Daphnia pulex: one gene and its partners. The protein of the gene in region 3 purifies or fractionates together with the protein of the main gene of each other region. This does not show direct contact. Links are inferred from orthologs where the notes say so. Each region holds a gene or a part of one and is shown on either strand. Other genes may lie near its edges. The genes, in order: mitochondrial import inner membrane translocase subunit TIM50-C-like; lipoamide acyltransferase component of branched-chain alpha-keto acid dehydrogenase complex, mitochondrial-like; histone deacetylase 6-like; phospholipase A-2-activating protein-like.

Evidence for each region.
Region 1: the proteins of histone deacetylase 6-like (region 3) and mitochondrial import inner membrane translocase subunit TIM50-C-like purify together in Homo sapiens (affinity purification with mass spectrometry; 3 studies listed by BioGRID and IntAct, counting the BioPlex papers as one, with this or other methods). This does not show direct contact. The link is inferred for Daphnia pulex from reciprocal best matches to the Homo sapiens genes HDAC6 and TIMM50.
Region 2: the proteins of histone deacetylase 6-like (region 3) and lipoamide acyltransferase component of branched-chain alpha-keto acid dehydrogenase complex, mitochondrial-like purify together in Homo sapiens (affinity purification with mass spectrometry; 3 studies listed by BioGRID and IntAct, with this or other methods). This does not show direct contact. The link is inferred for Daphnia pulex from reciprocal best matches to the Homo sapiens genes HDAC6 and DBT.
Region 4: the proteins of histone deacetylase 6-like (region 3) and phospholipase A-2-activating protein-like purify together in Homo sapiens (affinity purification with mass spectrometry; 4 studies listed by BioGRID and IntAct, with this or other methods). This does not show direct contact. The link is inferred for Daphnia pulex from reciprocal best matches to the Homo sapiens genes HDAC6 and PLAA.

Annotation. Positions count from the first base shown.
Region 1 is NC_060024.1:13,318,584-13,326,145, forward strand, and holds mitochondrial import inner membrane translocase subunit TIM50-C-like, read right to left. Parts: upstream 3,939-7,562; 5' UTR 3,895-3,938; coding exon 3,301-3,894; intron 3,228-3,300; coding exon 3,108-3,227; intron 3,036-3,107; coding exon 2,928-3,035; intron 2,864-2,927; coding exon 2,608-2,863; intron 2,540-2,607; coding exon 2,436-2,539; intron 2,374-2,435; coding exon 2,281-2,373; 3' UTR 2,226-2,280; downstream 1-2,225. Other genes in the region: serine/threonine/tyrosine-interacting protein B-like, read left to right, coding at 680-838, 926-1,023, 1,091-1,279, 1,367-1,419, 1,495-1,637; transient receptor potential cation channel trpm-like, read left to right, coding at 4,838-4,844, 4,964-5,443, 5,501-5,764, 5,822-6,752, 6,828-7,562. UniProt on the Homo sapiens protein: Essential component of the TIM23 complex, a complex that mediates the translocation of transit peptide-containing proteins across the mitochondrial inner membrane. Has some phosphatase activity in vitro; however such activity may not be relevant in vivo.
Region 2 is NC_060026.1:4,118,255-4,126,130, forward strand, and holds lipoamide acyltransferase component of branched-chain alpha-keto acid dehydrogenase complex, mitochondrial-like, read right to left. Parts: upstream 4,435-7,876; 5' UTR 4,355-4,434; coding exon 4,295-4,354; intron 4,219-4,294; coding exon 4,031-4,218; intron 3,966-4,030; coding exon 3,781-3,965; intron 3,719-3,780; coding exon 3,579-3,718; intron 3,515-3,578; coding exon 3,233-3,514; intron 3,167-3,232; coding exon 2,958-3,166; intron 2,889-2,957; coding exon 2,696-2,888; intron 2,614-2,695; coding exon 2,542-2,613; intron 2,479-2,541; coding exon 2,311-2,478; 3' UTR 2,067-2,310; downstream 1-2,066. Other genes in the region: pumilio homolog 3-like, read right to left, coding at 4,592-5,416, 5,488-5,669, 5,736-5,946, 6,016-6,246, 6,312-6,959. UniProt on the Homo sapiens protein: The branched-chain alpha-keto dehydrogenase complex catalyzes the overall conversion of alpha-keto acids to acyl-CoA and CO(2).
Region 3 is NC_060025.1:1,307,928-1,316,053, reverse strand, and holds the start of histone deacetylase 6-like, read right to left. Parts: upstream 3,686-8,126; 5' UTR 3,603-3,685; coding exon 3,504-3,602; intron 3,417-3,503; coding exon 3,286-3,416; intron 3,212-3,285; coding exon 2,930-3,211; intron 2,865-2,929; coding exon 2,691-2,864; intron 2,619-2,690; coding exon 2,426-2,618; intron 2,313-2,425; coding exon of another isoform or gene 2,253-2,312; intron 2,185-2,252; coding exon 2,125-2,184; intron 2,023-2,124; coding exon 1,933-2,022; intron 1,860-1,932; coding exon 1,753-1,859; intron 1,696-1,752; coding exon 1,451-1,695; intron 1,387-1,450; coding exon 1,305-1,386; intron 1,234-1,304; coding exon 805-1,233; intron 750-804; coding exon 560-749; intron 489-559; coding exon 1-488. Other genes in the region: speckle-type POZ protein-like, read left to right, coding at 4,646-5,698; F-box only protein 9-like, read left to right, coding at 6,285-6,287, 6,375-6,456, 6,526-6,608, 6,690-6,825, 6,892-7,064, 7,125-7,178, 7,246-7,293, 7,353-7,414 and 3 more.
Region 4 is NC_060021.1:10,307,370-10,315,562, forward strand, and holds phospholipase A-2-activating protein-like, read right to left. Parts: upstream 5,104-8,193; 5' UTR 4,995-5,103; coding exon 4,852-4,994; intron 4,782-4,851; coding exon 4,594-4,781; intron 4,509-4,593; coding exon 4,130-4,508; intron 4,067-4,129; coding exon 3,896-4,066; intron 3,838-3,895; coding exon 3,703-3,837; intron 3,623-3,702; coding exon 3,533-3,622; intron 3,468-3,532; coding exon 2,956-3,467; intron 2,886-2,955; coding exon 2,742-2,885; intron 2,685-2,741; coding exon 2,101-2,684; 3' UTR 2,026-2,100; downstream 1-2,025. Other genes in the region: U1 small nuclear ribonucleoprotein A-like, read right to left, coding at 55-214, 273-559, 777-949, 1,103-1,166; transcription elongation factor 1 homolog, read left to right, coding at 1,626-1,741, 1,824-1,956; uncharacterized protein LOC124194545, read left to right, coding at 5,672-6,334, 6,395-6,670; CTTNBP2 N-terminal-like protein, read right to left, coding at 7,527-7,609. UniProt on the Homo sapiens protein: Plays a role in protein ubiquitination, sorting and degradation through its association with VCP. Involved in ubiquitin-mediated membrane proteins trafficking to late endosomes in an ESCRT-dependent manner, and hence plays a role in synaptic vesicle recycling.

The DNA of each region.
Region 1 (7,562 bases), on a different chromosome or scaffold from region 3:
GATGATAGGAAAAGATTATCTTTGTCTTTTCCCGATCCTCCAAGCATGTTAGCAAAGACATGACTAACATCACTGCCTCTGCCTGCTCCCATCTGTCTTTTCTCTTCACTGGATATGGAAACTTTTGATCCGTGACCGAAATTTTCCGATCGAATAACAGTAGATCTTGTGCGAACTCCGTCTTTGTCCTCAGCCGTAATTTTTAAAGACTTTCCATTCGACATTCTTGTTATTGTTACGAACTGGGCAACTGGCAATCTAACAAGCAAAATAACTTTACTTTTTCGTTATAAAGAAATTGGTTTGCCTCGGAACAATCGAAAAAAATACTTACAATTTAGAGAACTGAGTAATCGTGTCGAAACGGCTCAAGCAAAGAAACGGGTCTGAGACGAGTGACAAAATCTTCCCGTCTTTAAAGGGAAGCTGTCTGACACATGCCAGACGTCTATTTATAAACAAGAAACAACGTATTGAACTTGAACCGCCAATAAAAGGTTGAACTCGACTCTCGAACCGCCAAAAAGAAAATTTCTAGTCTGCTTGGAAAAATCGATTCTCTTAAACATCGATTATCAGACAGCAGAGTGAAAAAAAAACAAAAAGTTTTCGTTTCAAAACGCAGGCTTAGTGTTTACAGTTTTTCTTTTTATTCTTAATAGTCTTAATAGTCGCCTCAATGGAAGTTCAGACAAATAGTCACGACATACTTTCGGCCTCGTCGATAACGGCTGATTTCCAAGAACCTAACGATTGGACATATTCGATGAGAAGGGAAATGCAAGAAATTGTCAAAGGATTGTTCCTTGGGCCCTACTCGGTTGCAGTTCGATCCAAAGTATATGGTTTGCATAGATCTTTTATTCTTGCATTAGCCAATGTAATAAGTATAACAACATTACCTTCTTATTTTTTTAAACCCCAGGAGAACTATCTTGAGACTCACGGAATCACTCATATCGTTTGTGTTAGACAAGACATTGAATCTCACATGATCAAAACACATTTTGTTGATAAATTCCAGTAAATTAAATTATTCCAAACAAGGAACAAATTGTATGGACTTATTTGTATTGCACTTTTTCCTCAGATACCTGGTTGTCAACGTGAAAGATTCAGTCACAGAAAATATCATTCAGCACTTCCAAAAAGTTAAAACTTTCTTGGATAGCTGTTTTTCTGCAGGAGGCAAAGCTCTTATTCACGGTAATGCTGGCATATCTCGAAGTGCTGCCATTGTTCTGGGCTTTCTTATGCAAAAATACTGCCTTGACTACAGGTATATTTCTCAACATTCATTCATATATAAGCAGTAAAGCATGACATTCTTTTCAAGCTCTGATCTAATTTTTTTATTTATTTACAGAGAGGCTTTCAGTTTAGTGCAACAGAGAAGGTTTTGCATTAATCCCAATGAAGGTAGGTATTTTTTTAAATTGTTGCATCTCAGTTCATTAGAATAATAGTCTCACATAGCTCAAACTCTCTTAATAGGATTTGTTCAACAGTTAAAGGAATATGAACCTATCTACAAAGCAAACTGGAGTGTAACAAACAATGGTCAGTGCTCAAGGGAGCAAAGCACTTGGAAACGGAAGCGAGACAGTATCGAAAATGACGATGCTATGGACGAGTGACGCGTTATCCGACATGAGAATCAATAAAAACGTTTTGCGTATGCTGCACAATTTTTTCTTGACTGTTCCTTGAAGGAATAAAACAAGTGATTTTCAAATGGTTTGCAATCTTTTTAAGTCGATTACCGGTCCAAAGCTTTAATCCATTTATTTGACGACTAATAATTCAATGCAGTCTAGGAATATCAATCCAGCACCTAATATTTTACCTAAATACTCCCATACGATACGGTATTTAAGTTTCTATCTTCAATTGTATTGCAACAACTAATCTAAGTGTAAATTACCGTCGAAGCATTTTATTTAGTCCAACGAAGGTAAAGTATTTGTTTAAACTATTGCGATTGAGTTCACTGGAATATTTACAGATTCTATTCAACACTTGAAGGAATGTGAACCCATCTACCGCGCAAACTGAAGTGTAACAATTGCTCAAAAGAGTAAAGAACTTGAAAACGACCGAGACAGTAGGTATCGACGACGCTTTATATGGACGGTTGACATCCTGTATAAAATATGGGACAAAATGTTTTCCCGTTCTTGGCTGTGCCTCGACCCAATGATAAGAGTATTTTTTTTTCTTTCAGAAACTTTCGATCGGTGATTTATTCGAATTAATATACTAGAAACGAGACTTGCTGAATCAAAATCGCCGACCAAATAGACCACGGGCAACAGATGTAGCTGGTAGAATTTGTTTCTCTTGATTCATTCGTTCCATCAGTTCCTGTTGTTCCTGCACAGCAACAAAATTGGGTAAAAACAAATTTAAGAATTGGATGATGGATTTACACTTACTTGAAGTTTCCGTTGATTTTCCCGAAATGCTTCGATAGGATCGTCGAATTGGTTGTAGAAATCCAGCACTTCTCGCACATCTTGGACTTCTGACGTAGCAATTGCTATTCACCAGTAAAATGCGTTACTTCATTAGTATTTTTTTCATACTATTTCTTAGAAGGACATTTACTTTTCAATAGTAGAGCCAAGTCGACAAGGGTCCTGTCATCATCGTTACCCTTCCATTCTTTAATTCTAAGTGCATTACGAGGATGCGATTTGACTGACTGGGTGTTCCAATCGAGGACAATCACTTTTGATGGATCGCGATTGATGCAGTCAAGATCTTTCACGTGATGACCATCAACATACCGAGTAGCGTCGCGGAAGAGTCGGTACATGATGTAACCGTTGGGATCCAAGGCGTCTAATATGGGAAAGGCCGTCTAAAGAGGTAAAGAAATTTAATTATTTTGTACCGAGAACGTGAAATTTAAAAATGGTACTTACAAAGGCTTGTTCAGCCGTGTAGACAACCACTTCAAATGCGGGTGGACCCACTTGTGCCAAAAAAAAATCTATTCCTGGCCTCTTCTTAAACCTCCAACCAGTTTGATACTGAAATTAAGAGAGAGAGCAAATGATTATGATGTTTCATTTGAAATGCATACAGTTCAACTGATTAATTACTGTCCAATCTGGGTGGACTAGAACACCAGTCATTTCCAAGATTAATGTGTAAGGAGGCTGATAATATGGCTCTTTCAGAGGATCAGGTAAAAGTTTATCTCTTGAAGGGTCTCTAATCATCTGAAAAGAAAGCCAAAAACAATATTAAAATTAATTGAAATGTTTTAAAAATCTGACAGTCAGAGATGCTTACTTGACTATAGTTCATTATGGCATTCCATGACCTAAGGATATATTGTAGTGCCAGAGGTTTTGAGCTGAATTGGTCTTCTATCACATTGCCCTCTTCATCTCTCTCTGGTGCTCCCCATGTGCCAACAATGTAACCACTTAGGCCGCTTAGTGTTACTCCAAAGAAAATAAGTGTGTATTTCATAGTTCTCCAACTAGCCTCTGCTTCCTTTTTCTTTTTGGCTTCTTCATCTTCTTCACTGTTGTTTTGTTGTTGTTGGCCAGGTGGAGAAGACTTCAGCTTTCCTTCGGTTTCATTTTGGGACTTTAAAACCTCTCCTGCAATTCCCATACCTTGAAATGAACCTAATATTGGACTAGCTGCAGCCGGTTTGTTCGCCGTCGTCGTCTGTGTCTCGTTGCTGCTGTCGGACTTTTGGCTGTAACACCTAAACTGTAAGTGCCTGGTAGCTAAGAGAATGTTACTTATTTGCTTTGGTTGACACAGCACATTTTGGGGAATTGTCACTAGTCTGTGAAAATTTCCACAAGTCAATTTTGTACCACTTATTTGAGATAACTTTACGAAACTCGTGACATATCTGGAGGCAGCCATTTTTCTTGATATTTTTAATTTTCTCAAGAATCTTCTGCAACATTTGTGTAGTTGTCAGATTGCTTCTTTATTCCAACCGTCGGGTAAAAAAATTCAAAAATCCAAAATCTATTTCCTAATTCCTATGGGTCTGTAAAATCTAAACGCGGTATATTGCGATTACGATTGTGAGTGCAGGATGCTGAGAACAAGAGATTTTGCATTCATATTTTCATGCCTTATTTTTGAATGGCCTTGCATTATTGCCGCCGCGATACTTCTTCGTCTCAAATGGAAAATGTTAAAAGTGTTCAGCTGTAGAAGGTAACATTTTATCGGTTTTATTTACATTCGGATTTCATACTTGACTGAATTATCTTGGTATAGTTAAAGTTAACCTTGTAGTTTCGTTTTCGACATTTTCAATAACGTTTTATTAGTGAGTGTGTCGGGGTCTCTAATGCTACTTGATATCACCGCGATGCAATCGGTTACATGTGATATGAATGCAAAGAATGCGCAAATGCAGGATTAATTTGTTGATAACATACAACTTATCGAGGATCAACAACCTCTTTATTGCCGCTATCGTGTAAAGTCCTCTTTAATAATTGCTCTCTCATCTCAGTGAAGCTCATTCTTTCCAGACTTGTAGTGAAATTTCATACCGTTCCTTGACTTTTCCCAGACGGTAACGTCGACCGATCCTTTTGTGAAAAGCCAAGTATGAGTTAATCCAAGACTTCTAATCTGAAGTCCAAATATTGCTACATACGATGTTATTGCTTCATCTTGTGTGATTGTTTTTAAGGTTCGACCTTCGTCAAAACTACTTATCACTGCATGTCAGTTTGTTGTGTACGTACCTTAAAACTAGTTCAATGCTGGTGAAACGGGTGCACTTGAATTTAAGATTCTAAGGTAGTCTATAGTTTCTCATGACTGAGTCCAAACACGTTCGGCCATGATTGGTAAGTTGTTTTCAAAATGCCGCTTTTTTTGTATTTAATTTTTACACATGAAATTCTCTAATTTAATGCTAAAACTTTGTTAAATAAGTAAACCATTTTTATTTCTTTTACCCATATAGAGGAAAATCAACTGGCTGTAACGTCTGCAAGTGGCGTCGTTTTTGCGATTCCTCCGGGTCATCCAGGCTGGATAGAATCAACATTTTGCAAGCGAGAATGCTCCAGATACGTTTGCAGCTCCGACAAAGGCCCACTGTGTACTTGCGGCCGAACGTGGACGTATCACAAGACTCACGGAATCAAAAATGTTGGCGTGTCGGAAGAAGTTTGGTCCCCTGCCCATCATACTGTCAGCAGCCCAACCGACTCTTATGGCACCATCGATTTCTTGGGCGGCCCACATCCCAATAAAGCTCAATTCATCCGGCTGGGCTTTGATTCAGGCACCGACCATATTTTTCAACTGCTGACCCGTGAATGGGGACTTGAATTACCTAAACTTGTCATCTCCGTACACGGTGGCAAAGTTAATTTTAAACTTAATCCACGACTCAAGCTCGTCTTCAAAGAGGGACTCCTTCGAGCAGCTAAAACTACGGGTACTAATTAACATTAGATGACTAACGAAGCTTTCACCTCATTTCCACTTCCGACAGGTGCATGGATCTTGACGGGTGGGACCAGTACGGGAGTGACTCATCATGTCGGCGATGCTTTGATATCAGAACGTTCTCCTCGATTACGAAGTGGCCGTGTCGTCAGTATCGGCGTCGCTCCCTGGGGTGTGGTGGAAAATCGAGCTTCACTGATCGGCCGGAAGAAGGATGTCGCCTATCAATCGATCGATCATCCGCGTTCCAAATTCGCTGCTCTCAACAATCGACACTCGTATTTTCTACTGGCTGACAACGGAACTGTGGGTCAGTTTTAATTGTTCATTTATCCGTGGATTGGTCATATTCAACTGTTTTCTCCAGGTCGTTATGGAGCGGAGATCGCCCTGCGGAGGAAACTGGAGAAATACATATCCAGCCAACGGCTTCCGGCTCGAACTAATTGTTCTATTCCTGTTGTCTGTTTGGTCGTTGAGGGCGGAATGGACACTATCAGGACCGTGCTGGAATACGTAACGGATTCGCCACCTGTTCCAGTAGTTGTGGTGGAAGGCTCAGGCCGGGCAGCTAATCTGATTTCCTTTGCGCACAAATACGCCAAAGAGATGGAGGAATCATCGACTGCTTTGGACGGAATACGAGAACAACTGCTGGCTGAAATCCAGAAAACATTCAATATCAGTCAGTCTCAGACGAATAAATTGCTTGCCGAACTTCTACAGTGCGTCGAAAATGTGGATCTCATCACCATTTTCAAACCGTCAGAGACCTCGGAATCAAAGTCACTGAATCAGCTGGATCGTGCCATTCTTTGTGCACTTTTCCGTGCCCGTTACTTGACAGCTGCCGAACAACTTAGTTTGGCTTTGGCTTGGAATCGAGTCGACATTGCCCGTTCCGAGATCTTCATTTACGGCCAAGAGTGGGCCGATGGAGCCCTGGAAGAAGCCATGATGGAAGCCTTGGCGAGAAATCGCGTGGACTTTGTAAAGTTGCTGCTGGAAATGGGTGTGCAAATGGCCAAATTCTTAACCATCCATCGATTGGAAGAACTTTATAATTCCAAACAAGGTCCAGCCAATACGCTGAGGTACATCGTTCGTGACGTCCGTCCACATTTGCCTCGCAACTATTCTTACAGTCTTATCGATATCGGCTTGGTCGTCAACAAGCTGATGGGCGGTGCTTATCGTTGCTCCTACACCCGACGGAAATTCCGTCACAGCTACACCGACATGATGAAAAATTTCACTAAAGAAACTCCGAGTCGCAATGTTCTAAACCATGGATTAAGGTAAGGATTGATAATGTCAAGTCTATGATTATCGATATCTTCACTAATCATAAAACGCTGTTCTTTGTTATCCAGTCAGTATATTGAATCCGGCCACCTGAGCCTCATTGAAGACCTTCAATATCATGTTGAGCCATCACACAATATGTTTACTCAGCCATTCAACGAACTTTTGGTTTGGTCCGTGTTGACCAAACGCCAAGATATGGCCAAGTTGATGTGGCACCATGGAGAAGAATCGTTGGCTAAAGCTCTGGTGGCCAGCAAACTCTACCAAGCCATGGCGATTGAAGCAGCTGATGACGATTTAGAAGTGGAAATTAGCGACGAGTTGCGCAGTTATGCGGCCGAATTTGATCGCGAGGCTCTCGAGTTGCTCGACTATTGTTACCGTCAAGATGACGACCTCGCCATGCAATTGCTGACCTGCGAATTGTCCAACTGGTCCCGGCAAACTTGCCTGAGGTTGGCGTTTGCGTGTAATCACCGAGAATTGCTGGCCCATCCAGGTTCTCAGTTGATTCTGGGTGATTTGTGGCTGGGCGGATTGCGGACTCGTCGCTCAACCAACTTGAAAATTGTTCTGGCCATCATCTGTCCACCACTGATCCTTCAATTGGAATTCAAATCGAAAGAAGAGCTCCAACTGATGCCGCAAACTGAAGAGGAGCACATGATCGACTTGAAAGACGAAGGCGATCCTTCTGAAATGAATCACCATTCTTCGTCCTGTAGCTCTTCACCGATCGTTTCCACGCAAACCGATCACATCAAAGCCAACAAAGCGAAACGTGCCAATACGTTCAAATG
Region 2 (7,876 bases), on a different chromosome or scaffold from region 3:
TAAGGAACATCGTGATTTTTCACATTTTATTCACGCGGGTTATTATATTGCGTTTGCTTATACAGAAGTGAAATTTACTACTATCAAGTTCATATTTTCTCTAGTCAGTTATTTGTAATCTCGAAAACTCGGATTCATTATAAAAACATGTTTGCGTGTGTATAAACTATAAAGCCATATCGTCCAAACAGATTTTCTCACAACAGCGAGCACAACAGGCCTGCATTAGGTCATTCAGGGTTTATTTCGAAGGTTATAGGTGCCCTGCAGATCCCAAAATCAAAGGATAATGTAGATGATGACGCAGGCTGTTTAATAAGGCGAGCTGAACATAATATACTTCAAGAAACCGGAAACTCGATTAGTTATCTTAAATATTTACTTTCTTTTTTGTTTTTCAATGTAGATTTATTTTCACGCCTGACGTCCTCAATATTTTCAAGATTATCCCAAGCCTCGTTTCCTTTCAGGCATCGTAACAGCCAGGTCAGTGTCGTCCGACCGGCACAATTTTCTCCGGGCTGTTTCAAGCGACGCCAGAACCAGTCCCGCACTCCCGCTCGTCCAAAGTTATGTAACAATAACAAATAAACATATCGGTTGATTGTGGCTCGCAATCACACGGCTGTTGAGGCAACCGAAAAGGATATAAAGCAGTTAAAAGGCAGCACCATATCTCCGCGCCAGCACGAAATCATATACTGTAAACAAGCCGCAGCTTTCTTGTCACGGTCGGTTTAAGCAAGTGGAATTAATGGTCTGCGCCCGTTTCGACATGTAATACGCAAACCAAAACAACCAGCACGTCTGGATGAAACCAGAAAAAAAAAAACGAAATTCCAGCAGCCGGGAGTAAACGGATCCTTAAACTAAATATGTGTCTACACACACACACACACACACACAGCACACACACAAATAGAATTATTTTTGTTATCGACACGTATTATTTTTTTTCAGTAGCTACTTTATTTGGATAAGACATGCTTAGCTGTCGTGAGAAAAATTTTGGTATAGTATAAAAAGTAGTCTGTGATGTTGTGAACTCGATTAACGGAGAGCGGTATCATTTCAGATGATTTGATTTCCCCTGTCTCGACTATAGACACCCAACACAGGCAGCACGGGGTGTGGGTCAGTGCGGTCAGGCGGTATACTTTACACGCAACAGAATGAACTATTCAAGGAGATCTACATTTCAACCTACATAGGTTGGGTTGTTGTCACAGTTGGAAAATATTACATTTCATCTTTCCTTTCCAGTGTAAATTTAAATTTCACAATTTTGGGTTTTTGTAAGGCCCTCAACGGTCCGGTGCAACCGTTCGGTTGCCGGGACCGGTCACCCCCTGAAAAAATCCTAAAAATTTCGGACCGGGCCACAGCAACGCTATTTGACATCAGATCTTCTAAAAAAGATGAAAACATGTTTAGAGAAAAGGCTAAAAAACATTTCCCAGCCCGCCTAGACCTGATTTCGTTTATTTGGCGGGGTTGTGGCTTCATTCGATGTAATCCATTATCCCGCTAGGGGGCTCGTTGGCTTAGACGGTTATTGTGTAGTTACTGTTTTTTGTGTTTGGTTAGGTTATTTAACGATTTTAGGGAGTATTTGAATATTTCATTCGGATTGAGAAAGTCATTACAAATGTTTCTGTTTTGCGCACAACAAGCTTCTCTATTTGCTCAATTTTAAACCGACGCAACCGCGCACACCGAACCGAATCGTAAGTAATTGGGTGATTTACTATTTCTGAGGGAAATTCCCAAAACATTACGAAAACTTACGAACAGGTAATTCATGACAGATGACAGATACGTTGGTTTTCTTAACCTAGCGGGCAGACAAGTGGGCCACTGACCAAGTCCGTCTCCACTATCTCCTGTTAAAGTTGCATCACATAAAGTAAATAATATTAAAAATTAAACATGGCATTACTAGTACAAGAAAATGTTGTTCACACTGGATAAATAGTACATAAAACTACAAATTCACAAACACAGTCATATTGTTTGTTTAATTTAAAATATTAAACTTAAGTAAAAGAAAAACATTTAAAAGAAAATTTCACGTGTAGGACTAATCTGTTATCTTAGTGAAATAACAGATAGGCAGTATATTATATCAAGTTTCTTTTTTTTTCATACACTGATGATCATACTGACCATATGACTGAGTCCCATGCTGTTGAGATTTCACTTCGCGACCATTATACACTAATATAGATCCTCTTTTATTAAATTTAGAAACGTACCCTTCCGCCAGGAGGACACGGATTGTAGAGTACTTCATTATTAGTATTTGAATATTCATTTCAAGTCTAAGATCATAATGCTGGGATTTTCTAGATAAGCCTTCCACAAATTGGAAAATCGCGCCATTGAGGCGCCATCAATCACTCGATGGTCAGCAGACCAACTAACTTGCATGATGGATGCTCTCACCACCTCACCTTTGTTGTTGAAACGAGGAAGTACCTAAACAATTCAATACTACTGAATCATCTGAATAATTAAAGGTTGCCGAAATTTAAAAACTACCTGGACACGTCCTATTGCTCCAATAGCAACCTCCGGCGGCATAATGACGGGTTTGGCATAAGTTCCTCCTATCTGAAATTAAAAGGGAAAACGTTTTAAACGAGGAATTTATAAAAAGTAATCAATAAAATATATTAAGAGATTTATATCCAACCGATCCAATGTTGGATAAGGTGAAAGTTCCACCGGTTAAATCTGCAGTGCCCAAAACTCCTTTATTGCCTAGCTCCTGCAGCCTGGCTAGTTCGATAGCAACATCCATCACAGACAATGATTGGACATTTTTTACATTCGGCACAATTAAACCGAGACTCGTATCCATGGCAAATCCAATATTATGAGAGGCTCTAAATAAAAGAAGTTCAATAATTATTTACGTGAGAAAGAAACTTTTTTTTTTTTTTTTGGTTACATACTTGTAAGTAATATTTTCGCAAGCTTCGTCAACCGAAGCATTAAGAACTGGGAACTGTTGCAGAGCCATGGATGCAGCTTTAATGAAGAATGGCATGAAAGACAACTTAATGCCTCGCTCTTTAACCATTGGATTCTCTTTCAGAGAATGTCTCAGCGTAGCCATTGATGTCATGTCAATTTCATCACAATAACCAAAATGAGGAATTCGCTTTAAAAAATAAATATCTTGAAAATTATGAACCGAAAATATGAACGTGAAATCTCTTGATCATACCAGTGCATTAGTCATGGACTTTGCCATAGCCTTCTTAAATCCTTTAATCGACTCAGTGCGGTCCACTCCAACCGGACAGGCTGGTCTCACTTGCTGTGGGCTTTTTGTTGAAGGCGACGGCTGTTGGGAGGTAGCTGCAACAGGTTTAGGTTGTTCCTGGGGCGCCTGTTGTTTAGCTTTCGGGGCGCTCTTAGAGCTACGAAGAGTTTCAATGTGCCGAAGCATATCTTCCTTCAAGATACGTCCGTCTCTCCCACTTCCTTGTACATCTCGTAGATTTATCTATAATATTAAAACCAAGTTTTACTGACAGAATTTCTATTAAAGTTCAGTCGCTAAAACATACCTTATGATCACTGGCCATTTTTCTAACAGATGGTGTTGTCAATACCTTTTCTGCTGGAAGTTCTAGAGTATCCAAACTCTCGTCTTCTCTTTCACCGAGGGGTATGGCATCTTTTTCTTGCAACTCTTCAACAGGCTCTTCTAAAAAAAAAAACTATAAGCAACACAAAATCAAGTGAAACAAGAATCACTGTTTTTTGTACCTGTGACTGAACCACTGACTTCTATATCTACCAATGGTGTACCCACTTTGGCCATATCGTCTGTAGCATAATGCAACTTGCTAATGATTCCATCATAGCGACTGGTAATGGTAACTGATGCTTTGTCACTCTGAACTTCACAGATGGGGTCAAACTGAGCCACTTTATCACCTTCCTTGACATACCTTTAGAATTGATTTCAATCTCATATAAATACAGTGAACAATAAATGTTAAACAAAGACTATTACCATTCTTTAACCGTAACTTCCGTGATTCCCTCTCCAATATCTGAAAGTTTGAAGGGTACTTTCTCTCCATAAAAAGGTTTCGAAGAATGAAAAAATCTAGTAGTTATTGGATGAAATTGTTCGACGTGACCGCAGGGTCCGAAACGAGAAATAAGCAATGGAACGGCATTGTATTGCAATCGTGATTTCTAGGTGTTATTTAAAACGGGATAAATTTTTAAATTATTCTATCGAATCTAGTTGACAAATTAAAAATCTAATTACCAGGTAGAACAACTTATGTTGTCGAAAACTACAAACAATTCGTCGTGAAGCAGAAGCCATGTTTACTCGCAGAGGAAAAATTCTACACTTATCACGTCCGACGGAGAGAAGATGGCGCTGAGCACACACTTATATTTATTGAAATTATTTATAAAATAATAATTTAAAATAAATAAATTTGCAAATATGGCAACACAAAATTCTTATTTGTTTTAAATTAAAAAAAAAATACAAAATGTTCCAGAAATTATTTTTTATTCCAATGATTTTTTTTCGATTACAGTTCAACAGTGAAGTCTAGATTGGTTCCAACTTCGCCAATTTGGAATCAAGGATGTCAGAGCCTTTGTTGGTTTGTTTTTGTAGAAATTTCCTCAAATTTTTAAGTTTTTCTAAAACTGCTTGTATGACACTGTCAATTTCGGTTTCAACCATTCCAACGAGCAAGAAAGAACCGCGATTGCAGCTTAGCCAACCTTTAATCTCATCAGAGTCTACTTCATCGATGATTGCCTGGCTAAAATAGGGAGGTTGCGTTCGTAGCTTGTCAAACTGAATTAGCTTTTTAACCGTCATATGAACAGCCGACTGTTCAACCCAATATTGAACTTTTTCGCCACTAGAGCTAAACGCGTTTCTCAGATCTTGGTCGAGTGGGTTACCAATAACTGAAGCCACTGCTTTAAAAGCAGCTTGCAATTCTTCCCCGACGCAAAATTTGAGAATGGAGCCAAGAACAAGACAGTTTTTGCTATCTTTCAACCACATTTCAGGTTCGTGTGAGACAGCTTCCAACCAGGAAGGGGAGGCATACTGGAGAAGTTCCTTGTGACGAGTTTCCATATCTTTCTTGCTGTTGGGATTACCGTCTCCTTGCTTCAATATGTCAATAATCTGTGGATGGGTGAACTTGGGATCGCGGCCAGCAAGCAAGTACATGACAACCTTTCGGCCGTGCTCGTGAACAGCAATCTCTCTCCAGTTGGTAGCAATTTCTGTGACAATAGCTTTGGCAACGAGTTTGGTGTCATCCACGGAATCGAAAAGCGCCATCAGCACCATGTGGCCGTGCTCCTCTAAGCAGATCTTGGTTACGTGACCTTTGAAACTTTTGATGATATCCTATATAATTTTCAATAGACAGGCGGGTGAGATATAATTTCGAACACAAAATAAATAAAATTTAAATTTACCTTTCGATCTTTTTGGGTACCATACCAGAGGCACGTCATTCCAACTCGAGCTCCATCGCGAGTGTGCAAAACTTGAACGACTGCCTGACGAAGACTTTGGATCATTTCAGAGCGTTCATTCTCTTTGCAGTGAGTAAGGTACTCATTAGTCAAACGATGCAATAAACTGTGATTGAAGACACCTTTTCCAATTAAAAAATCGATTAGACGGTTGAATACAATCGAATATTGGTATCAAATCAACAAACCTTTGGCAATGATTGGTTCGATGGCCTGGTTCATATGCTTTAGGAATACTTCTCTCTTCTCGGGATGTTTAGCCAGAGCGGCACTCAACGTAGTAATGGACTCATCTTTAAAAAGTTTAAATTCAGGTCCATAAAATTCCTGGCTCAGCAGAGCGCGTTGACTTGCGTTAGCCCAATCGTTGTATGCCGTTTCAACCACTTTGGAGGCGAACTGATAAATAATAAAGAATTAATTAGCCAAATATTGAAATAAAGAAGATGGTGTTAAATAGATGCATACCTTGTGTTTCATAAGAAAAACAACTTTTCCGCTTAACGCAGTGATGACATAATTTCGCTGTTCCTTGTTACCATGGCGGAGAACTTTCATCAAGTAGAAATGTGCGTACTGTGATTTAGCCAAATTAACAGTATGGCTTTTAAGTTCATTGAATAAGGCATCTCTGATATCCTGAGATGATTTCTCAAACAAGCATTCAATAACTCTGGCTGTATCATGGGCAAAGACCAACTAAAAGGAAAATTTAATTATACAATTTGTAATGAATTACAGCTTTTCATCAACTTTTCACTTACCTCTGCTGCATGAGTTTTGATCAATCCATAGAGATCAGCACTAATGGAAAGTTGACGTTCTTTGGTAGTGTCTTCCCTTCTGAGTTCCTCCCAGAGCTTTTTGGCTTTAACAGACAGCAGATAGCGATTTTCATTCTCCTTGGTCTTTCGTTCAACTTTGAGTGCTTCTTTTTCCTTCTTCTTGAATACACTTGTCTGTTCTCCAACAGTCTTTTTGGCTTTCTTACCATTGACTTCTTCTCCTTCATGTTTTCTTTTAGGTGCTACCTTTGGTGCTGAGAAGCCAGGGATGACTACATCACTTGAAGACTCTGTTTCTTCAGTTTTCTTTGATTTCTTTGAGGGCTTGATAACTTCGAAATCTTCATTATCCACTTCCATTTTCTTGGACTTTTTCTCCTTTTTAACAACGACTTTCTCTTCTTCTTCTTCAATGTTTTCTTCAGCATCAGCAGTTTTCTTTTTCTTTTTGAACATGTTTCCAACTTTACCGTAATCTTCTTCGACTACTTTATCATGTTTGACTTTTTTCTTGGCTTCTAACTGGTCGATGAGTTTGCTTTCTGAATGAGTGAAACCTGGGGCATCTGCTACGACAACTTGCTTCTTGGTTTTCTTGACAGCCGCTTTGTTAATTTTGAGCGTCATTCTTGTACTTAAAAGTTCACAACTGTTTTAAACTTGATTAAATAACCTACGGTCAATCTCGAGAAAGAAAACAACGCGTTCGTACAGAAAACTATGGTAAACTTTAAGCAAAAAGTCAGCACGGCGCACGCAATATATTCCTGTCAAACACGTGGTTTGAGAATGCTTTCTGCTAAATTGTTGCCAGATTGCTCTGCAGCTGAGCAAGTTTACGAAGGAAAATTTAAAAAATTTCTATTCAAAACAAACTTAACCATAAATACTTTTGTAATTAATTTTTAAAATTTAAATGACATTAATTTTGATTAATCAAAGGAGTCATAAAAACAGAGCTCTGATGCACCATATGACATTTGCGGGAAATTCAAAATCTATCATAATCAAAAGCTTATTTCCCACTTTCACATCATGAATGCACCACTACCGTGCCAAAGAAAATCGATTTGAATACATTTAAGATTTTGATCGAAAAATTTGCTAATAAACAAGCTTTCATTCCCCTTGTATCGACAGTGAACGTGCGACAGAGGGCAGTATGGCAGTATCATTCGCAGATTTGCCACTAGTGCCACTGCTACGTTAATCATTTTTTAAATAATAAAAAAAAATGTATTAGTTAAGAGTTGTTTTTCTACGATTATCAGAATTTGTTCTATTTAAAAAGTAAACATACTAAATTTTATTATTTTCCATGATGGATGGGCAAGAACAGATTTAGATTTTCCGAGGCATTACGAAATACGTATCATATTGACTTGATTTTCGCTTAAGAATAGGCGAGCATTGTTCAACGCTGTCTTTATGAATTGAAAAAGAACTGGAGCCAAATGTGTCTATGTCTTATCAGAATACTTCATCTCACGCCGACTTCTCAATCGTTGCAAAGGCCATCAGTTATCAAGCCTTTTGCTTGTTAT
Region 3 (8,126 bases):
GGCGGGAGAACATCTCCTTCGGGTAAATCAACGTGGAAACAGAGGCTACTCCAATAAGGAAGCAGATGGCTGACGACCTGCTTGATGGTGCTGATGGCTGCCGGATTGAGTGGTTCGATTCTTGGTGAAGGTAATGGGTCTCCCAGCAAAGCTTTGGCACACATGGTCATCGAGTGCGAAATGGAATCCAAATTGTAGCCGCCTTCGAGTAGGATAGCAACACGTCCTTGAGCAAGTGAACTAAGCATGTTCGTCATTTGTCCGTACCCTTCCGGAGTAATCTTGCAGCCTATGAACGTCGTATAATTAAAAGAAATCCAACGGTAAATGAAAAGGACTTTTTTAAAATTTATTTTACCTCCCAACGGATCCCCCTGGGCCGCATCGAATCCAGCTGCAACAAGAACTAACTGCGGATTGTATTGATAAGCGATAGGCATAATAATCTGCTGGAACGCAGCAAGGTATTCCGTGTCGCCCATCCCTCTCTATAAGAATGAAACAAGTTGGTACAAGTTAAGAAAACAGATGACAATAATTCAGTTTGAATAATAAATACTTTGGGCCAAGCGATGTTGACTGTGTATCCAGCTCCGGATCCGCTTCCTACTACGTTGCAATCAGATTCTTCCGGTTTGAAAGGGAAGATGTCGAAGCGATGCAAGGAAATGTACAATACGCGCGGATCCTCTTCAAACATCCGCTGGATTCCGTTGCCGTGGTGTACATCCCAATCGACGATAAGGATTCTAGATAAAATAAATCGTATTTAATCTAATAAACGAGTTTGAATTGCATCATTACCTTTCTAAATGATGAATCTCGATGGCATATTTGGCTGCCAGCGCCGTGTTGTTGAAGAAACAAAAGCCGTACGCTTCGTCGCATTCCGCGTGGTGCCCCGGTGGCCGGACGACTCCTATTCCACTACGACTCTCACCGCTCAAAATACTTTCAACAATTTGGAGAGACGAGCCGGCTGAGAGCAACGCAGCCTGATAGGTTTCCGGACAGATGAAGATGGATCCGTACTGCCGTTCCAATTGGTTGAGAGTCGATTGCTTTTTACCAGCGGTCGCCGCAATCTCATCGATGTAGTCGGCCTGATGCAACCACAGCAATTCTTCGCGATCGGCATCTCGAGCATCCAGCCGGTGGCAGCGCTCCAACACTCCGAATTCCATCAATTTCTGGTAGATTGAAGTGATTCTAGCAGGTCGCTCCGGATGTCCACTGCAAAAGATATCGTCAAACAATTCCATAAAAATAACAAAGAACTCGAAACAATTTAAAATTCAACTTACGGTTCGTTGATATTACGATGCAAAGCCATTCTTTCATCGTAGATGAAACAAACGCGATGCTTAGGCACTGCCAAGCTCGTTTCTAAAATAATAAACAATTACAGTTAATTAAATTGTTATTTAAAATTTGTAATCATTCATGTCACCTTTAATGAGCTTATCAAGGCGCTGATCCAAGAGGTCAATCGTCTCATTGCTCTGCACTGGGTAGCAGTTTCGAGTGGCAAACAATGTTTGTTTGACGTCAGATCCTTCAAAAGTGACACTGGGTACAAAGTGCTTTCCTTCCTTTTGACTACCCACTTTTGAAGCATCAAAACGGCCCTGGAACTGTAGACATTTCCACATAGGGCGAAGCACATAAATAGCGCTCAAAATACTTTCCTGAATACTACAATAAGAGAAATGATGCAGCCCGCATTATATTCGTCAAAAGAAATCGTTTTACCTTTGACAAGGCTCTTCGACTTTTGCAATGACTGGGCAAGGATCACCAAGCAATGTTCGCAAGGTCAGAGCAGCTCCTTCGGCTAAGGATTTCAAGCAGTACCCTCCCTAAAAATAAACACATAATTAATGACCAGCACTAGGGTTTGGTCAGAGTAATAGATGAGTCAGCGGATTATACTTCGAGAACGACAGCCAGTTTGCCTTGGGCCAGCCCCATGAGTGATGACGTCAAGTGGGAGTAGCACGCGGGAGTGATTTCCATTTCGCCCTAAATTTGACAAAAGGCGTTGACAATATTAGTCACCGCATATCTTCACAATTCCTTCAGAAAAAGGTAGAATATAAAATAAGAAGAGAACAAATGTTGGACCTTCTCGTCGCCTAGTGCCGAATCGAAACCAGAGGAGACGAGAACAAGATCAGGGCGGAACTATTGCCATGCAAATCACAAGAAAAGAAGAAAAACAAAAAGAATAAGTAGGAAGTCTTGTACACTACCTCGAAACAACCCAAGGCAGCGTCATAGCCGGCTGATACAATAATCAACTCTGGTTGAAACTGAACAAGATGAAGCGCGTTTTTAAATTACAAGCGTATTTAACCATAGTATTAATATGCATTGAACGATTTGAATAGATGAAATGAAACATGGTATCAAGATGAGTTATTACTTCATAAGCCAGAGGCAATAGCAGCTGGTGCCAAATGGCCAGATAGTCGGCGTTACCCATTTTCGTTTTATTCAGTGGCACGTTCACGTTAAAGCCTTTGCCAACTCCACTTCCAATGTAGTGAAAATCGCTTTCACGAAGATTGGGCCAAAAAGCTCCGTGCTCATAACGATGAACCGAGAAATATAAGACTCTGAATATTCAATAAAGGTAACCCTCACATAGAATTGATTCAGTGCATGTGATAAACTAGATGCCTTTTTACCTGGGGTCTTCGTAGAACATTTGTTGAGTTGCCTGGCCATGGTGAACATCCCAATCAACAATCAGAATTCTTTCAACACCCTTGTTATCTAATGCATGCTGGGCTGCAACTGCTACATTGTTGAAGAAACAATAGCCACAATATTCACTTTTCATTGCATGGTGCCCTGGCGGTCTAAATAAATCAGTTTTGAATTGAAACAAAAGAGAGGAGTAAAATTTGCAAAGTATGTATATTACCTGATTACAGCCATTCCATTTTGTATCTTTCCATCCAGTATGGCATCAACCATCTCAACTGTTGATCCAGCTGCCAACAATGCTAGCTCATTTGTTGATGGATGAATGTAAATGGCATCATAACCTGAGCTGATAGCTTCTAATGCTTCAGCATCTGGACTGCCATCTGTTCCTTTGAGCAATTCAATTCTGTCTGGTGTGTGAAGTTTCAACAGCTCATCTTGAGTTGCCTTTCTAGGTTGAATTTCTACACAGCGTTGAGCCAACCCATATTCACGGCATCTGCAAGATTTTTTAACCATTATTTCACCATAAGCAGTTTAAATTTCAGACTAGGTATATAACTGATAACTGACCTTTCCAAAACCCGAGTGAATCTCTCTGGACATTCAGGGTAATTGGGATCCCAAAGACACTGGTGTTCAACCATCCGTTCATCATAAACAATTCCTGTTTGGCCACGTATCTTATCTTTAGAATCCCGAGTCTACAAGAACAGAGTGATACATTCATCAACATCTAGCTTCAACATTATCCAAATTAAACAACGTTTAACAGTCTTAACCGTCCTTACATTTTGCAAGTGATCCACAAACACATTTAATTTTTCATTTTTTTTATTCGATGGTGAGCGACCTTTCACGAAATTCGAAAACTTTGTTTGTTTACTCATTTCGACTTGTCTTGTGGGACTGCTAAATTCTTGACTGCAGCCGCTGACAGAACTCAAGTGCAAGTCAACAAACAAGCTCTTGAGTGAGACATCTGGTGAGCGTCGGTTAAAACAAGCTCACACTTATTATACCGATGCACGAACGAAGTTTGAATTGCCTATCGAAATATGAATATACGAGGTAATTCTAAACTACTGCGTTATTTATTTATAACGGTTTCTTATTAAATCAAATTATTAAATTCCAATTTCCAAAGAAACGGGGTTTACCGTTGAAATGTGATTTATGCTATTAAAATTGATTACAACCCCTTTAAGTAAGACTGTGTCAAGTTACACTCATTCACGACCGATATAAAGCTTAATTTTTAATCAGTTCAGATGATTAAATAATTAAGTCAAATCAAACAACATACCGAGTACTCTCCTAGCAGACGAACGGCATGCGTTTGTGGAACGACATCTGAACGACATCCATTTTCGAAGACGAAACAGAACAAACTGAACAAATCATCGCACAATTTCTTCTCTAGAGTTCGTCAAATTAAATAAACGAGACCAAACATAATAGAGAGGAGGACGTTTTTATTTGTCAAGAAAACTTAAGTTATATGTGTGTGGTTAGTCACAGCTTTCTCAGTTTTCAGGCTTTTTTACGGGTTTATGAAAGATGACGCCATATTCAATGATTAACAACATAATCTTTATGGTTGAAAAGTTAATCCCTTTCGTCGGTGGTATTTAGTTGCAATCAATTGGTCAAATTACAATTTCTCTTAGCAACATAAAGTTTTATTCCCTCGGGTTCTCTTCGGCTCTATGAAATTCTATCCCCTCCCACTCTTTCTCACACCCTTTCAAGTTTCGTTTTCTATTCGTTTTCAGCCCCTTACCCTTCACCCTTCAGTCTGCAATTTTGCTGATGCTGGGGTCTGGGAAGTGGGAAGTGACTCAACACTCAAGTGAGAGCTGGCATTCGCATTTCATCTTTGTTGAGAATAACACGTGTTTGTAACAGTCGCCATTTTTCTACGTACTGAGCCATGCAGTCGTCAGCGGACAATGTCTGTCTCTCTGAATTACAAATTTCAAAACTTGATTTAGAATGGAATGTTCAAGTGCCATGTCTAGAAACTGTTGCGGCGTGGATGGAACCTCTGGAATCAACGTTATTTTCAGCTAGAGAAACTCCTGATCGTCTGTGGAAGCTAGTACTGTCTGATGCGGGTACAACATTAACTGTACAACTATTTCTTACAACTCCCGGATTCGCTAACTTCAAGAGCGTCACGGCTGTCGACCCTTTTCGCATGAAATTATCAATCCTAAACGGGAAACGACAGAAAGTTCTCCAGCAAGTATACGGTGTTCAAAAGAATGGCTATTGTAGCATCCATCTGAATTTTCTCAAAGATGCAATCCTAAAATCTGAGTGTCAGCAATTGAACGGAAGTCTCGTCTTCCACTGCGAGATTGAATCGTACGCGAAAAAAGAACCTGTCGCAGGTAAAGCTAATCTAATCCAAGACCAGTCAATTAGTTGCAGTGATCAGCTGATTGACCACTTTGAATATTTGTTCGAAAACATCAAGTACGCTGACGTCACTCTAAACGTCGGTGCTCAAAAATTTCAAGCACACAAAAGTATTTTGGCGTCAAGAAGCAAAGTCTTTGCTGCCATGTTCGAACATCCGACCAAGGAGAAACTGTCCAATCAAGTGGAAATTGAAGACATCAATCCGGATGTATTTCACGAGTTGCTTCGTTTCGTGTACACTGCCCGTTTATCTTCAAAGACCATGGAGAAAATGGCAACTCAACTTTACTTTGCCGCAGACAAATACTTCTTGGACCAGCTGAAGACCGAGTGTGAAGTCCATTTGCTCCATCATATGACTCCCGACAATTGCATGGATTTGCTGCTTCTACTCGGCAATGAACACCAACTGGTGGATGATTTGAAGAATGAAGCCGTCGATTTCTTTCGTATTAATCCAGTTGACGTTATGGCGACTGATGGATGGAAAAAGGCGAAAAAAGATCACCCGAAGTTGTTGTGCGACATTCAAGAAATGGCCCTCCGCCCTGCTGTTTAATGAGCATCTAGCTCATCTGTTTCTCTCAAAGAAGTTGAATCAAAATCAAGTTGAATGAAGAATTTAATTTTTTGTACCAAGAATTTTTTTTTTATCTGTTCAAGTCCTTATTCAAACATTTGTTTATTCAATAACGTGAAAAGGAACATTCAAAATACAACACAGTTGATTGCAAATTGTCTTAACAATTTCATGTTCGCTAGTTACTTTCCTAGAGTCAGTTTTACCGAAGGAAAACCAAGTATAATAGTGATTCCACATACAGCATTCATGAGTAAGTTTATGGATTTATTTTATATTAGAACCATTCGGTTTGTCTGCAAAGCAATCTTTAATTTGCCATAATTTGAATAGGCCGCGTGTTCCATCACCGCTTCTGCTACTAGCAGACGAAATTTTTATTTTTGTCGCGCAGCCACTGACGTATTAACTTGGTCAACATCAATTCGATTGTTTCCATTTTCTTTTACACCAATATTTCGTATATTTGTGCATATGTGGACTTACTGTTCAGTTAAAAAAGTATCGTCCGAAAGTAGGACTGACCATATATCCAGCCGAGAGAGTTTATTATTTTTCATTCCCAATGGTAGGGTTGCTACAGCTTGATTGGATAAGAAACATTTACAATTATATAATCAAAATATTTTTGATTTCATTTTGTCATGCCAAACAGGAGTCCGAGAAAGATCCAGCAACCGAGGAACTACTAGAATCGTTTCGGCGACAATGGGAGACTGAAATTTCTGCTGCCAGATGTATAAATTTATCACTTTGCTCTATCATTGTTAGTGAATGTTGACCAAACTTTAAACATAACATTGCAGTGCAGCAATCTCTGACAAGCAGCAGTAAACCCAAAAATGAGGATCACGAGTCTGGGAGTAAAGAAACTGTTGATGAAGAAGAGGTTTGTATAGCTATGTACCATTCTAAACATATCCACAATCTAGCTTATTTATGTTACTAAACAATTACCCAAATTCTCTAGGCAAAAAGTTTATATCTACGTGGAGTAAAACATGAAAAGTCTGGAGAAGTTGTGGAAGCTATAAAATTTTACAAACGAGCAATGCAGTTGGTCCCTGATATTGAAGAAAGAATATACACATATCCCAAGAACAAAGGTTAGAAAATCAAATTTTATATTTGAAAATTTCTTGTCACTGTTTAAATTTTCTTGGGTGCGACAGAAGGCAGCGAGACTACTTCGGAACCAAAAAGTCACAAAGACTTGAAGGAAGAAGTTCATAACAACAATTCTGATGATGAAGACGATGATGAACTTCCGGTTGATTTGCTAGTTAAGCTTGAACGGCTATTACTACAGGATGGTCTAGTTTGTACCCCACACGATGAACCAAAGGTTTGAAACCATTTTTAATGACTTGTGCGTATCAAACATTCACAGAAAAAATTGTTTTAGGGTACTCATATATCGGATTTACCGCGTGAAATTATTATTTACCTTCTCAAATGGGTATTTTTTAAATGAATGGTCATTACATAAATGTGCAGCGCTAAAATTAACATTTCAATTTCTTCAGGTGGTATCTTCTGACTTGGATCTTCGGTCATTAGAACAAGTTTCATTGGTAAGTAGTATTGTTTTGCTATAATTTCAGGAGCGTCACTTATTTGATCATGTTTCCAGGTTAGCCGTGGTCTCTACGTCTGTTCCCGAGACACCGAAATTTGGAAACTCGCGTGCCTTAGGTATACTTTTATTCCGTATAGATAGTTTTGCTTGTTGGAAATGACGAAAATGTTTGTTTGTGTCTCCAGTGTCTGGAACAGCCCAGCCAGTCCTACAACTCTTGGTTTTACCAACTATAGAGACATGTTCATTTATCGTCCTCGTCTTCATTTTCATGGCTGTTACATAAGTAAAACATCATATGTGCGGCAAGGAGAGAACAGTTTTCAAGATACCAATTATCAGGTAAAATATTGCCGAAAGAAAATGTCTTACCGTGATTTTTCTTCATTCTTTTTTTATTTAGCCGTGGCATTTGGTAAACTACTTTCGATATTTGCGCTTCTATCCTGACCGAACCGCTATAATGTCCACCACTGCGGATATTCCTAGCTTGGTAGTCAGTAAACGTCTAAAAAGAAAAGATCCTTCTTGTTTCCGCGGTTTCTACACGCTCCATGGAAACGTTGTTACGTGTATCTTCAAACGAAAACGGATTCCAGAACGAACTGAACGAATCGATAACAGAAACCGAAGAAGGAATGACGAAGCAAATAATAACGGCAGCACAATGATTGAGCAGATTTTCGAACTGGTAAGTTAACTGACACCTTATAATTGAGCGGTGCAATTAAATCGTTATTTCTCTACTGTCGTCTTTGATGAATGTAGGAATTGGAAATCAAGACTATCAATAAGAAGAAACTTCATTGCGCACTTCATTGGAATCGT
Region 4 (8,193 bases), on a different chromosome or scaffold from region 3:
TTTAAAACTGTCAATTCAAGAAACAATTCAAATGAGTCCATAAACACAAGAAAATTATTTCTTGGCAAAAGAAATCTTCATCGAATGAGTTGGAGTGATTTTGAATCCTTGCAAGGATTCTCGAGCTCCAGCAGACTGAACTTCGTTTTCGAATTCCACGAAGGCGATGTCATGACGACCAGGAACCAATCGAACTTCTTTGAATCCAGGAAATCTGTTTAAAAAAACGATTAGTTAGGAAATTATTCGAGTTAGGGTTTTAAAAATCTTACTGAGTGAACAGCATTGACAGCATCATTTCATTGGTTTCTTCTGGTAAATTGGTTAAGAACAAGATTTGATTAGGGGGTTGCTCAGGAACTCCAGCTCCTCCAATTGCTGGATATCCATAAGTAGCTGGGCCACCAAAGCTTCCAGGAGTGACAACTTGTTGTTGTTTACTTTCCTTCTTCTTCTTCTTCTTGGGTTCTCCTTCAGGCTTTGGTTTGGCAGGACGCTCTTGAAATGTTCCTTTCATCTTGGCAATAACATCAGAATCTGTTTTGGCATATTGGATGCGCTGCAAAAAAAATTTAAAAAATTTAAGAGACAAGTATATTCTCTTGGAACCCTAGTGAATCTACTAGTAAAACCCTCAGCCCACTAAAGGGCAAAACAAGCACCTAAAGAGGGGGCCAGATTTTTCGACACACGTAATTAAACATGAGAGAGCAAGGATAAGAATCATCACAGGGCATAGTTTTTTTAACTAAAAAAGAAAGAATGAAATGTATTACCATAGGTTTATCATAAAATGGAAAGCCTTGCATTCCTCTGAGGGCATTTGTTGCTGAAGTTACTTCCTTGAAAATGACAAAGGCTTGTCCTCTCATCTTTAAAGTTTTTAAAGCCACAATGTCAAGAATTTGTCCAAATTGGGAAAAAATCGCATACAATGATTTCTTCAGTTCTAAAAATGTAATAAGATATTATTTAGAAAAGTGTGAAGAACTCGTGTCTACACACACAAAGGTTTTCACGTGGTTAACGTTCAAAAACACATTAGTGATTTTATCTTCACGAGTCTCCTTCATATTTTCCCAATACTATATCAAGTTCGTACCTTCTTTCTTGACTTTCTCGTTGAGATTATTAATGTAAATCGTACTGTTGGGTCTGACGTCCATTCTTGATAGATTGAGGTACTTCTTTAAAAAAAAATTGCAACAGAATAGAGAATGAAAATGTTTTCGCTCGAACTCTCTGACAAGAAATGAGAGATTGAGAGCCGGCTGGCGGCGTGGGTCTTTAACAGAGTTGTCAATTTATTTTTTTATCATTAATTTTTCAAATTCTTATTGCTTAAGAAGATTAATTAATATAAGAACCTGTGCTAATAATTTTTAAACAAGTTTTTATTTCAAATGGGATTTTAAAACAAAACACAGTAAATAAAATTCGTTTCGCCAAGTAGCTACAAAACATATTGGCAACATCGGGATTGTTTACTAGAGAACGACGCTCAACGGTCGAGGTGTTTTTGCTTGTTCTTGAATATTGTTTCTTCTTATTTATTGAATTCACAATTTACTTTACAGTATAAAACAAATTAACTGATATCGCTTATCTGATTGATTGAACGAACAATGGGAAAGAGAAAGAGTAAGAGGAAGCCTCCCACCAAGCGCAAAGCCATCGAGCCCTTGGACACGCAATTCAATTGCCCATTTTGCAACCACGAAAAGTCCTGTGAAGTAAAAATGTAAGTTTAAACCTTGATCATGTGCTGTTGAAATCTAGATATTTTTACAACAGATGATATGAATACTTTTTTTTATTTTCAGGGATAAAACACGCAACACTGGTCGAATCACATGCAGAGTTTGCCTTGAAGATTTCCAGACTACTATCAATTTCCTATCAGAAGCTGTGGATGTTTATAATGACTGGATTGATGCCTGTGAGACAGCAAACTGAAAATTTCTAACAACATTTGAACAGTTCTGCTAATACTGAACTCAATATCAGTTTAAATTGAAGAATTAATTCAGGAAAAATTTCCAACTGTATTCATTTTCATGTTTTCACTTTGTTAATACAGGATACATATGCATTACAATATTATTTCAAAAGGATTAAAACTTGTTTAGAACATTCACCCACTTTACCAGAAATATTCTGGAAGTAGTCAATTTTAGATTTAAGTTCTAAAGAATGTGCAATGGCAACTGAGTCATCAGCATTTGACAAAAGAGTTCCAACTGCTACTAAAGTCCTAAACAAAGCCTCTTCCTCCTGTAGTTTGGATAGAATTTCGCCAATTGCGCTCATCAGACTTGCTTTAGCCTCTACTGTAGCGAATGAAGGTTTTAGATGAATAAGGACGGCATAGTTAAGAATAACGGTCGAAACAGATATTTCAACGTGTTTCCATTGGGAGTGTTTTAAAAATGAGGGGTCACTTTCCGTTACTACCGCTAAGATTGCTGCAAATATCGTTTCGCGATAATCCATTAGTATTTGCTGTGAAGAATTATGGATGAGTAAATGAGCAATTGTCCTTAAAATCATCATGCAGTTCGGGACGGTCGAGCGAGAAATAGCCAGCATGACATCAAGCAATCCTTCCTTTTCACTTAACATTCGATCTACCCGAGAATGGCGGGATGCTAGTCGTAAAATGTCCAAAGCAGGAAACATCTTATCTGTAAAATAAGATTATTTAGTAAGTTTCTTTCCAAAACATGATGGCAAAATATTACCAGATGGCCAACGAAGAAATGTTTCTAAATGAGGAATTCCTTCAACAGTAGAACTGGGATCAGCGGATCGTATAAATGCCAATAAATCGGAATCAGCCAGCTGCAGTTTCGGATCGACTTTGCCATTAAACTCTTTTAGTTTGGCTATTTAATTAAAACCATAAAACAATATAGATGTTGTTGATCTACAATAATATGTTTAACCAATGTATACTTGAAATAGCTTCAATATTCGCTTGATCGAAGCGCAGGAATTCTTTGACTGGGAACAAAGCAGGTTCCGGTTTCTTTGGTTGGCCGGGTGGAATATACCGACCAGAACCAGTAAATGGATCTTCTCCCTGAGACATTGCTGAATTCGACGGAGCATTCCCAGAAGATGGAACATATCGCGAACCACCAGTAAAGGGGTCCACATATGTTTCGCTTGATTTCTGTGATGCACCACTGCCAGTTCCGCTCTTACTATTGGTAATGATGAAGTTTGCCACTGTATCCAGATAATACTGGCTGAGATCATTCTTGTGTATGAACTTTTGAGCGGCTAACCAAGGATCTTCGGAGGTGTTATAAGGAAGCTTCAATGGTGGTTTGCCTTCATCAATATCGACACTAAAAACATAATCGTATTCTTTCCCTTCATAGAGATTCTTGGTTGAATCTGATTGACCAGCAGCACCGACTACGTCACCCACTTTTGTCCATTGACCATCACTTGATGACCAGCTAATGTAAAAGCAGAAATTGAATGACGAAAAGAGTAAATCCTTTGTGACTAAAATGAAATGTACCTATAACAGGAAACAGTTTCTCCGTGACGAACCATTTTTGTTTGACCTTCTCTAGTACCAGGTTCAAAAAGGCTCTCTGGACCAGGCAAGCTATGGGAGAAAGGTATAAATTTAGTAAATTATTCCTTCCAAATGAAGTGGGTTTTAGATAAAAATGATGATAAACTCACTCTGAAGCTTTGATACCCCCCAGTTCCAACTGTGCATTTAAAGACGTGGCGGCCAGTTCTTCCTCAAAAGCTTGTAACACTTCTGGGTTAGCTGTTCGTTCTGGGCTCTGTGTGAATACTCGAACTAATCCATCACTAAGAAAAACGTGCAGTCATTTCAATTTGAAATCACTTTCTTGATTTTAACTGATACCTGCTCCCTGTGACAATATCGCCGTTTTTCATAACGCTGACTGACCAAATACTCTGCGCAGGAAGGAAGACTGTTTGTTGACACTCATCACTCACATCTAATTTCCATATGCGCAGAGAACGATCTTCACCACAGCTGACGAAAGTATTGCGATCAGCCATCATCGACAATCTAATTAAAAGAAGAAGTCCAACAGTTAATGGAAGTTCAGATTGTAAAAAGCAAAAAGATTACCCATAAATGTAATTTGTGTGTCCATAGAAAGTAGAAATACAATCTCCACTTGTGACCCACAATCTGACAGTTGCATCATTTGCAGCAGACAAGAACCGAGTGGAATCACAGACAGCAAGTGCTCTGACACAGTCAGTGTGCCCCTTAAAACTCTGAAATGGTGAATCACCTTTCCACATTTTAATGGTTTTATCTGCAGATGCTGTCAATAGTATAGATTCAGATGCAGAACTACTGCACTGCAAAAATTCTACAGCCCAGACAGCTGCAGAATGTCCAGAAAGAGTTACAACTGGAGAACCATCTGATTGCCAAAGCCTTGCAGTTTTATCCCATGAACCACTTAATAAGAATCCAGGGCGAGTAACCAGAGCACAAACTAAAAAAAAATAACCAAACTTTGCTATCATTTTATGAAAACTTATTATGAAAAATATTATGAAATTTTAAGAATAATAACCAACCAGTGTCTGTATGCCCTGTCAAGGTGGATGTTGGATTGACTGCACCTGGATTATAAACTCTAATTTTCCCATCTTGACATCCAGTTATGACAGATCCACTAGGGAAATTATCTGAGCATCCACCAACAGCAACAGCAGAGACATAACCTTCACTTCCAATGTATGTTTGATCACAGACAAATCCCAAACTGAAAAATGATTTTAGATGTAATCAAGCTACTTTAAATAATGACAATGTATTTAAATCAAATTGAATACCCTTCCGGCAACCATAATTTTGCAGTCTTGTCCCTGGAACCAGATACGATGCATTCTTCCATTAAGTCTCCAACAGTGACACTCCGAACGTCCTTCGAATGTCCTGGCATGGAACATCGCAATTTATAAGGCATTTTATTCATGATGAAAATACGTTCTGGTAGTAATAGGAATCCCACAAAATAAATTCACTATTGCTAGGTCAGTCGAAAAAAAAACAAATCAAGAATCATGCGCTATTGCCGTTCGTTCGAAACAAGAATCGATGACGGATGTTTACTTTGTAATATTTCCCCCTATAAATATTTTCATAAACGGAGGTTGTGAATAACATTATATAAAAAATATATTTTTCTTAAACCATATCTGTTCGTAATTAATTATTTTTTAAATTGATCTATAGGCTCAAACAATGCTTTCTCTGCCGAAGAACACGTTCAAGTAGCGCCTCTTGTGTGAAGAAGAAGTATTTTTTTGACGAACAAATACGAACAAGCAAGTAGAGAAGAAATTCGATAAAAATTCAGTTGGGTTGCAAACTTGCTAGAGACTCATAGTCTGCTGTTCTGTTCCATCCATTGCCCGACACCCATACGAAAGCAAATGGGCCTTCGGAAACTATACTTATGTAGTAATAGAATATGGACGTTTGGTAGGCCTTGAACTAAAACTGCACACACAATTTCATTCGACATTCGCTTCTGCGAAGTTCGACATTTGGTGAAAGAATTTGTTTGTACTTTTATAACATTTGAATATCTACTGTTTAGCCTACACACTCAGTGTTAATGATTTTGCAAGAAAAAAAATTTAAACATTGATGTCAAAAATGGAGAATGCTGAAGTTTTAACGAAGAAGAAAACTCATCGACGTAAAGCGGGTGGTAAAAGACGAAAAGACAAAAACGATCGTTCGCTGGAGACAACAAGTGATCAAGACCCAATCACCCCCGAAGTGGTCGCCCCACAGACGGAAAGACAGTTACTCGAAGATGGTGAACCACTAAGAAAACATTTCAAAATGCTACACAAAGAAACCCATCCTCTGTTACATCCTCACAAATTGGCAACTCGTGGAGGTAGAAGGTTGCTGAGACCTGCCAAAGTCCCAAAAGCACCCCAGAACTCAACACAGTTCATCATAGATGATCATGAGAACTCTGCATTTTTTATTGACTTTGATAAAGGCTTTACCCCACCTGGTGCCAGAGATGATGTTGGTTGGTCTCCTTATTTCCAGCAAGATTTTGAAAATGTGTACAGGACCACGAGAGAAGCTGAAACAACAATTGACTGGACCCAAGAAGATCTTGTTGAGAAAATATCAAGTCTAGAGGAGCGTGTGAAAAACCTTGAACAGCAACTGTCAATGTGTGACTCCAATGTCTACATGAATCAGATGCATCATCGGATAGTGTGCATGCAGGACAAGAATAGAAGAATCAAAGAGTTCAGAGTCTGGTGTCCAATGCATGGGAAAAAGGTACAAGATTCAAATTAATTCATTTAAGAAACATCCAAGTAAAACATTTTGATTTCACAGGTTAGACTGAGAAATCCCTCTACTGATACTTCCAGTGAAGATTGTTCTAGTTCATCCAGCGAATCACCAGACGATGAAGATGAAGTCGTTCAAAACGGGGACGAATCCGACTCCAGTGATGAAGATATGACGGAAGAGGATTCCGAGGAAAATGTGAACGAGAGAATTAATCCAGTATCATTAAGCAAACCCGAAGATGTAGAAGAAGTCGAAAAAATCGGAGAGCGAACAGGAAGCGTACAGTCGAATGAAGAAATCGTCACCGAAGAGCCCTGAATTTCGTCAATGCTGTTTTTTTTTTTTGTTTTTTTTACTTGTGAAATCCTCTTTTCCCCCGTGTATGCGTGTGTTTGATGCCTGTGAGAAAATTTCGGCTGTTGCAGGTTAATAAAATTGAAATGTTGAACGTCGTCAAATTCCATGTTTACTTGTCATTTACGTTCCTAGCTCTTTTTATTTATACAGTAAATACAGTAACAACAAGAATTATGACTCAGTTTAGGGGAGGTCTGTCGTCTTTTCACGTCAAGTCACAAAATGGGTGTGCTGAAACATTGGAATTCACTTCGCCTGATGGCCCAAGCTCGTGAAGCTGCCGCTTTCCCGCTTATCGTGTCTATGTATAGATAATATTATGTATAAATATTTACAAGGATATGGGGCTCCGAGTATAAATGTAGAAAGGGAAGGACCGATCCGGGGGAGGTAATTATATATAGTACGTCAGTTTCGAATTACATGATATGCCTATAACACGCATACACACAAACATTTTGCTCTTTTTTTTTTGTAAAGTCGCCAGGTTAGGAAGTACTCATTTAAAATAACAATTGAAATCGTGCACATGAGAAGTGATGGTCGTCAGGTAATCATTCACGCCCAATTTACTTAAAACAGATGGGGGTAGAGAGATAAGAGAGACAGAGGAGAGTGAGTAATTTTGCAGAGGATGGAAATGAAAAACGACTAGACACGACGAATAAAACCGACGCGTTTTCTTCTTCATTAACTTATCCTCAATCATTGAATCTTTCACGATTGAATTTTTAAAAACAATGCAATTTTGCTTAAGATGCAACTGTCGTGTAAAATATTTTAAGTGGCTTTCTTGGTCCTTTATATGTGGGCCATCTCAAACACCCATATGCAGCATAACGCCGCTGCTCTCTTCCGCAGGAGTGCTGGAAGATGCGGACGATGTCAAACCAGCGGGACCTGATCAAGTGAAATAAAAATGAGGTTAGATGTGCAAATTCGTACAATAATTGATAATAATTAAAAACAGTAGCTGTTCACTGTAAACATTCAAATCAGCACAGCATCAGACTTGGGTTCAAATGCATTTTGTCAATCATTGCTAGAAATATTAATTTACAGCACCTTTTGTCTACTGTGGAATTTTTCACATAAAAGGGCTTGTGGATTATAACCCATTCAACTCTTGCAGCAATAAGTTAAGTGCGGAAAATTATGGAAAAGCAGTGTTTAAGATTATTTCAATGGATTAATTTTCTTTAAAACACAAGAATCCAAGTCTGTTTGTTTCAAAAGCATTCGCAACCTCTTGGACACGATGTTAAGACACTCCACACAAAGCATACGTTAAACGAAAACATCACGTCCGTTCACGTAATCAATAGGCAAAAAACTGACAAAACGCGTCAAATTCCCGTACAAAATAGAAGTTACACGTTCCGAAGATAGAGCGAAAATCAGATGAAGACCCGTTCACTTAAAATGGTATCAGAAACGATTGTAACCCGTTTTTAACTTGATTCTCTGTTCGTCAGAACGAGTTT